2 linked regions of the Saccharomyces cerevisiae S288C genome follow. The protein of the gene in region 1 interacts with the protein of each later gene in a pairwise test. Each region holds a gene or a part of one and is shown in the gene's direction. Other genes may lie near its edges. The genes, in order: FET5 and FTH1.

The links.
Region 2: the proteins of FET5 (region 1) and FTH1 interact in binary tests that used the Saccharomyces cerevisiae proteins (3 or more experiments, as listed by UniProt).

What each region holds. Positions count from the first base shown.
Region 1 is NC_001138.5:47,128-51,611, forward strand, and holds FET5 (ferroxidase FET5), read left to right. Parts: upstream 1-2,011; coding exon 2,012-3,880; downstream 3,881-4,484. Other genes in the region: LAM5 (Lam5p), read right to left, coding at 1-617; YFL041W-A (uncharacterized protein), read left to right, coding at 1,607-1,798; YFL040W (uncharacterized protein), read left to right, coding at 4,223-4,484. UniProt on the Saccharomyces cerevisiae protein: Iron transport multicopper oxidase, which is required for Fe(2+) high affinity uptake. May be required to oxidize Fe(2+) and release it from the transporter. Essential component of copper-dependent iron transport.
Region 2 is NC_001134.8:632,992-637,128, forward strand, and holds FTH1 (Fth1p), read left to right. Parts: upstream 1-2,154; coding exon 2,155-3,552; downstream 3,553-4,137. Other genes in the region: LDH1 (triacylglycerol lipase), read right to left, coding at 1-390; mannosyltransferase KTR3, read left to right, coding at 631-1,845; DUR12 (bifunctional urea carboxylase/allophanate hydrolase), read right to left, coding at 3,712-4,137. UniProt on the Saccharomyces cerevisiae protein: High affinity iron transporter probably involved in transport of intravacuolar stores of iron.

The sequences.
Region 1 (4,484 bases):
GACTTGAATGTCTCATGAAAGTCTTTATTTCTTTGCTCAGACGCATAGTGATAAGGTGTGTCCATGTAACGTTCTTCCACGAATCGTCTATGATCGTAATTGTCTTCTTTCATTTGGGAAGGAGTGAGTCTTGTCTTGACCTCATCAGGCTTTTCCACCTGTTGCAAGGGAGAGCCTATTTCAGCAATTGTGGCATTACTGATACGGCGGCTTGATCTTCTTTTGGACCCCATGGAAGGCTCCCTTCTATGTGATATAATGCTTGGTTGCGAAACTGGCGAAGTTGGCGTAGTTGATCTAGAAACTGGGGATGGCACGTTTGACTTAAACGAAGAGATCATTCCACTGAAGAACGAGGACGTCGAAGAAGTCCTTGATTGATCGTGCTTGATCTCTGTAGGGTGTTCATCGGCGGCACTTTGGTTTGTAATCACTACTAAATTCTTGCGTACGTCGTTGGTCTCTGTATTTAGGGGCACTTCTTGCAGTGACTCAGCTTCAGTATCGCCGGCATTGTCATTGTTACTTGCATGCTCAAAGGGGGGACCCAATTGTTTCACAGAATCAGTACTGTCCTCATTATCTGATACGGGTTCCCAGTTATCTACATCCGACATCACCACTAATCTTTTTGTGTAGTTGCCTTCTTCACCCTTTTCTCAGATAGCGAAATGGTTGAGTGTTTTAATATAATTGTCAAGATGCTTTATGAAAAAGGGTGGGAGAAACAAGTCCCCCTGCTCAGCGATACGCGATCTCTCTGATCTCAGACATAAAGCAAACATTCTATCATGAGTGACATTGAGGATGACGGTAATTGGTAATATCTGACCTTCTGACCTCCACTCAACACAATGCAGAAAGCTATCAAATGTTTTGAACCAAACATGAAAGAGATTCAGAAAGTTGCCAAGCCAACGTGATGTCACAGGTCAAAGTTTAAGTGAAGGCTATTGGAATCTGCGGATCAGACATTCACTACTACACGGATGGCCAGGTCAGCGTAAAGTAACCTGGGAAGCCCATGACTTTGGGCCACGAATCCAACGGTGCTGTTCTTGAAATTGAAGTATCTCAAACTACTGTAAAGCGGGTGATGCAGTAAGCATATAGCCCTCATACCCAAATAGGTTTACCAAAGAGTTTCTGTGAGGCCATTATAGTTTGCAGCTCAACATACCATTTGCTGCATCACTGACCGTGACGGCACCCTTTGTCAAGAGTTCGTGGTTAACGTCGACTGCGTTTACTGATTACCGTTACAGTGAATTTCTAGCAAGAGTCCTCTGTAGATGCCACTATTTGTCGCTCTCCATGTAGTAAGGCCGTCCTAGCTGAAGTGTGGGGAGTAAGCTGTAGTTATAGGTGCTGGAACAATTGATCTGCTGGCGGGTGCGGTACTCAGAGGGTTTGGTGTTCATGAGTACACATGATTCCAAGAAAGAGCAAAATGGACAGTTTATAAACGCTATGAAGAACTGCTATAATCAGAAAAAAAGGAAGCCTGATGGATTCGAGTCCTCAGGTACTCAAAAGAGCGTTGAGAATATGCTAAAATGTGTCAAGAACGGTGGAACAGTTAAGTAGGTTGATATCCACCCCTCGAATGAAAATGTGGGGACCCTCCCAACGAGATTCCTTCAGAGAGATTACATATAAAGTGAAATTCAAGTATGACGATGGTGACTACTCCTTGGCCATTGATTTGATGTCTAGGGATTGTATTAATGTCTATGAGTTGATTACCGATAGGCTACTGGTTGATTTCCTTTCAAAAAAGCTGCTCAAGCTAAGATAGGTAAGGTGTTTATAGAATTTATCGAACTGTATCTAAATATTTTTAATATTCTTGTTTTATTACTTTGTGGCTTTTGTATTCAGTCTGCACCCTGTTTCGCCATCGATTCTTATAATACATACATTTTTATATAAGATCACAGAAAATACGAAGACGTAAAAAAAGAGTTCCGAATGAAAGAAGAAAGAATCAAGCACAGGAAGACAAGAAACGATGTTGTTCTACTCGTTCGTGTGGTCTGTACTGGCCGCTAGTGTTGCTTTGGCAAAGACACATAAGTTAAACTATACCGCTTCTTGGGTAACTGCCAATCCTGATGGATTGCATGAAAAAAGGATGATTGGTTTTAATGGCGAATGGCCACTTCCAGATATCCATGTTGAAAAAGGAGATCGTGTTGAGCTTTATTTGACTAACGGCTTTCAAGACAATACTGCTACTTCTCTACATTTCCATGGTCTTTTCCAGAATACGAGTTTGGGGAACCAGCTTCAAATGGATGGTCCTTCTATGGTGACACAATGTCCCATCGTTCCGGGACAAACATACCTGTACAACTTCACTGTCCCAGAGCAGGTAGGAACGTTCTGGTACCATGCACACATGGGTGCCCAGTACGGTGACGGTATGAGGGGTGCATTTATCATCCACGATCCGGAGGAGCCCTTCGAATATGATCATGAACGAGTCATCACTCTATCGGACCATTATCACGAAAATTATAAAACGGTTACCAAAGAGTTTCTGTCAAGATATAATCCAACCGGTGCTGAACCTATTCCTCAAAATATTCTTTTTAATAATACGATGAATGTAACTTTAGATTTTACACCCGGTGAAACGTATCTCTTCAGGTTCTTGAACGTTGGGCTGTTTGTATCCCAGTATATCATTCTTGAGGATCATGAAATGAGTATAGTAGAGGTGGACGGTGTTTACGTAAAGCCAAACTTTACTGATTCGATATATCTTTCTGCGGGGCAAAGAATGAGTGTGTTGATTAAAGCTAAAGATAAAATGCCTACAAGAAACTACGCTATGATGCAAATAATGGATGAGACGATGCTTGATGTTGTCCCACCTGAGTTACAACTCAACCAAACTATCCAAATGAGGTATGGCCACTCGTTGCCGGAGGCACGCGCATTGAACATTGAAGATTGTGACTTGGACCGCGCCACGAATGACTTTTACCTAGAACCTCTGATTGAGAGAGACCTACTTGCTCACTATGACCACCAAATTGTCATGGATGTAAGAATGGTCAACTTGGGTGATGGTGTGAAGTATGCATTTTTCAATAATATCACTTACGTCACACCAAAGGTGCCTACTTTGACAACGTTGCTTACCTCAGGAAAGCTTGCGTCAGATCCTAGAATTTATGGTGATAATATCAATGCGCAGTTATTGAAACATAATGATATCATAGAGGTTGTTCTAAACAATTATGATTCTGGCAGACATCCATTCCATTTGCACGGTCATAATTTCCAAATAGTCCAAAAGTCGCCAGGGTTCCATGTTGATGAAGCTTATGACGAATCTGAGCAAGATGAAATGACCGTCCCTTATAACGAATCTGCGCCATTACAACCGTTCCCTGAGAGGCCGATGGTGAGAGATACAGTGGTTCTTGAACCTAGTGGACATGTTGTCCTGAGATTTAGAGCTGACAACCCTGGTGTCTGGTATTTCCATTGTCATGTAGATTGGCACTTACAACAAGGTTTGGCTTCGGTCTTTATTGAGGCACCCGTTTTACTTCAGGAAAGGGAAAAGCTTAATGAGAACTATCTGGATATATGCAAAGCCGCTGATATTCCGGTAGTTGGTAATGCTGCAGGTCATTCGAATGATTGGTTTGACTTAAAAGGATTACCAAGACAACCTGAGCCACTACCAAAGGGATTTACTACTGAAGGATATTTGGCATTGATTATTTCAACCATTATCGGTGTCTGGGGCCTATATTCCATTGCTCAGTATGGTATTGGCGAGGTTATCCCTAACGATGAGAAGGTGTACCACACGTTAAGGGAAATCTTGGCTGAAAATGAAATAGAGGTTTCTCGCGGCTAATTAAACAAGAAAATATAAAAGAAAAATGAAAGAAGTTTATATTCATATTGATGATTTGCAATCCTAAAAAAAATGTAGCACTGTAAATACTGCTTACTATTGAGTATTTTCATTTTGTTCATTCCATTCCCTATATAATATTCATACGTAATCAAATCTATTGCTTTTTTTTTCTCTTTTATTTCGTTGTTTTAGCTCTGACGTTGTGACGCTCAGCCAAGAACGTCACAAAAAAAGGATGAAAATCAAAAAACAAAATATTCAATAAGTGTAATATGAGAAGAGAAAAAAGAAAGAACAAGTACAGTTTCTAACATTATACTTTAAAAATTATTAAGCACAATGACAGCAATGAAAGCTATTGTCTGGAGACTTCCCAAGATGCCGAAAATCAAAATTACAAAAACTTATGAAGTTACGAAAATTACGGCGATATTGACACTAGTAGGATTTATAATGGGCCTTGAGGTGCCGTCATTGGCAACTTTTCTCACAAACAAAACGTTTAATGAGTACTTCAAGTATCCAACTCCTTTACAACAAGGTTTACTCATGGGGTCCACCCCCCTGGGTGGTATCATGGGATGTTTTATTTGCTGCATAA
Region 2 (4,137 bases), on another chromosome or scaffold:
CCATTCTGAACTATGACCAAAGCCGGGCAGATCTAACGTCAAAAATGCCTTTTGATCAGAGTCCACAAGCTCGAGTAAGGGTTCAAATTGTTCTAAGTTGCCAGCCAACCCAGGCACGAAGACGAAAACAGTATCACCCCGTATCCCTTTATCGCTCAAGTTGTGACACGTCCTTATTCTTGAATTTCGATCCGATAGTTGTACATTAAAAAACTCCTCATGTTCTGCGATAAACTTCAACCTAAAGTCCAAATCTACCTCTGGTTTGCGAATGTAAGCTACCAAATCAGCTGCATTTTCTGCATTTTGAACAATCTCTTCTAGCGTCTTTCCAGAAAGGGGCTCACAGGACCAACTTTTTGTTGCTTCTGCACGTTCTGCCATATTCATTACCAAGAGAAAAAGTTCTCGGTTTAAGGCTTTCTTCTAACGTTGAGTTACGATCCAAATGCGACTGTACCATCTTGGTAGTTCTTTATTAATGAACCCTTTAAAATTGCCGGGTTAAAAGAATGGCGCGTCCTCTTGAAACTTTTCGAAGAAAACAACGTAACTGATGGTTAAAATTTGCATAAAGAAGGTCAGGCCTCGTCTGCGGACAACAACACTATCAATATCCAGCGTGCAATTATGTCTGTGCACCACAAAAAGAAGCTAATGCCCAAATCGGCATTGCTGATTAGAAAATACCAAAAGGGAATCAGATCATCATTCATTGGGCTCATCATAGTGTTATCCTTTTTATTTTTCATGAGTGGCTCAAGGTCCCCAGAGGTACCAATAGCTCAGGGCACCAGTGTCAGTCGTGTAGCCAGTAAGGATTATTTGATGCCGTTTACTGACAAGTCACAAGGAGTAATCCATCCCGTGGACGATGGAAAGAAGGAAAAGGGTGTTATGGTCACATTGGCCAGGAATTCAGATTTATGGAACTTGGTAAAATCTATTAGACATGTTGAAGACAGGTTCAATAACAGATATCACTACGATTGGGTGTTCTTGAATGACCAACCATTTAGTGATGAGTTTAAACGTGTTACCAGTGCATTGGTTTCAGGCAAGGCAAAATATGGGACAATCCCAAAGGACCATTGGTCCATTCCATCTTGGATCGATACTGAAAAATTCGATGAGAAAAGGCTTGCAATGGGAAAATTGGATATTCCATATGGTAGTTCCGTGCCTTACCGTCACATGTGCCGTTTCCAGTCAGGGTTCATATGGAGACACCCACTACTGGAGGAGTACGAATGGTTTTGGAGAGTGGATACCGATATCACTTTATTCTGTGATATTCAGTATGACATATTCAAGTTTTTAAAAGTAAATAACAAGAAATATGGATTCATTCTTTCGGTAAGTGAATATGAGCGCACAATCCCAACCTTGTGGGAAACGACAAAGAAATTCATCAAGAAAAATCCTAAATTCTTACACAAAAATAACCTCATGAAATTCATTTCGAATGATGATGGTGACACTTATAATATGTGTCATTTCTGGACCAACTTCGAAATCGGCTCTTTAGACTTCTTCAGGTCCGATGCATACAGAGAATACTTTGATTACTTAGACAGTTCTGGTGGATTCTTCTACGAAAGATGGGGGGATGCGCCAGTGCACTCCATCGCTGCCTCTTTGTTCTTGGACAAGTCAGAAATCCATTTCTTTGACGGTCTTGGATTCCATCATCCAGATTTCACCTCTTGTCCTATCGAACAGAAGATTAGACTACAAAACAAGTGTATCTGCGAACCTAGCAAGGACGTCACCTGGACTCCTGACTACTTCTGTACTAGAAAGTACTTTTCAGCAGGAAATTACAAGCTTCCACCAGGAATTTAAAAACCAAACTACAAATAGCGCCTGCTCCGTCAAAACAGGTGCTAAAACGTCAACATGTATCTATCTATATACACATAATTCAATGTAGTAGCCACCTCACTTTATTCTAGTGCCTTCTTGGGTTCAAAAATGGGTGCGGTGCGGCCGGAGATGAAGAGAGAAAAGCAAAATTGTATCTAAACCAGCCTACAAAAACACAAACTTGATATTATAAAGAATCAAGCATCTTACTGAACTTTTGTCCTCTACAGAAAAGCGAAAAAACTCTAAGAATAGAGAACTAGAGTGGTGTTCATATTTCTAGTCACCATGGCGTTTGAGGATTATTTTTCTTTCCAGATATTCTTCATTTTCTTAAGGGAATCCTTAGAAATTGTTGTCATTGTTTCTATCCTGTTGACGATCGTCAAACAAGGTCTGTCTGTTGAGGACGACAGCCCGTTTGAAGGAAGTTCCTCTTCTGCTGGTCTTCCAAGTCCAAATACGAACACAAACGCAGATTCGACCACTGCCTTCTTACAAGCAGGGCCTTCAGACGGTAATGCTATTGGAACGTCCGCTACGGCTGCTAATAATAAATCGAGGCCGCTAAATGTGGAGGAAGAAGAAGAAATTTACGAGTACTCTAATGAGCTTAGAGACCAGGACCGCGAGTCCGATGAACATACGGCTGACAACGTTAAGCTATATCAGAAATTAAAAATACAAATTCTAGCGGGCGGCGCATTTGGTTTGTTGCTGTGTATGTTAATCGGGGGTGCGTTTGTTAGTATCTTTTATCATATTGGAACCGACTTATGGACACTGAGTGAACATTATTATGAAGGTGTCTTAAGTCTTGTCGCGTCCGTTATTATTTCTGTCATGGGGTTGTTTTTTTTAAGAATGGGGAAGTTAAGAGAGAAGTTCAGAGTGAAATTAGCTTCTATCATTTATTCAAAGGACAATAATTTGCTGGGAAACAAAACCCAAAAAGGTGTGAAATTCAGTGAAAAGTACTCCTTCTTCATATTACCATTTATAACGACTTTGAGAGAAGGGTTAGAAGCTGTTGTATTCATTGGAGGTATCGGTATTGACCAACCACTATCCTCGATTCCCCTCTCTATGGTCCTTGCTACTGCAATCAGTACGGTGTTCGGTATTTTTTTCTTCAGGTACTCAAGTTCTCTTTCACTTAAGATATGCCTTGTAGTCGCCACCTGCTTCCTCTACTTGATCGCGGCTGGTTTGTTTTCCAAAGGTGTATGGCAACTTGAATTGCAAGACTACGTCAACAAATGTAACGGTCAAGACATGAGTGAAGTAGGAAATGGACCCGGTTCGTACGACATATCTCGTTCTGTTTGGCATGTTAATTGTTGCAATGGTGAAAAAGATGGAGGTTGGATGATTTTTACTGCCATTTTTGGTTGGACGAATAGTGCTACCGTCGGCTCTGTAATTAGCTACAACGCCTACTGGTTGGTATTAATATGCGCTTTGAAACTGCTAATGATAGAAGAAAAATACGGATATATCCCATATCTACCTATTAGCTGGCAAAAGAAACGTATTATGAAAAGATTAAGCATTGCCAAGGCATCGCTCGATCTCAAACATCATACTTCTGAACTCAACTCTAGCACATCAGAGCCAGACAGTCAAAGACGGTCCAAAGATAGTTCTGTGCCCCTAATAATTGATAGCAGTGGTTCAGCAAATTGAGAACATAACAAACACACGTAATAATTTTAAGCTTCTTTTCATACATTTTACAGTAAATACTATGTACATATATATTCGTCATTAAAAATAGCTAGAAAAAGGCATGCTATAAAGACTAAATGAGTGCTCCTTTGATTTTAGATGCCAACAAAAGGTAATTCATGCCAATGTCTCTATGACGGCCACTATGTCACCAGAATCAACCATATCACCATTGCCATGGCAAATCTTGATAATCTTACCCGATTTAGGAGCGGATATAATCATTTCCGCTTTCATGGCTTCAATAATTAGTAGCCCTTGACCTGCTTCAATAACATCTCCAACAGATGCTATGGATTTCCAAAAACGCCCAGAATACTCAGAATATACAATTTCTGCACCTTCTGGGAAGTCTTCTTCCTCGTCAGGTTTGACTGTGACACTTTCTTTTAGTTCAGAGTTTGCATTTTGAATCAATTTGGCAAATTCCTCTGCTCTTTCACCAAGCTGGCCCTCCTGGAATGCTGTGATGGAATCTTTGTTTGCGTTGATCCATCTCAAGTATTCTTGATGATCAAAAACACTCTTTTCGATATTGACTTT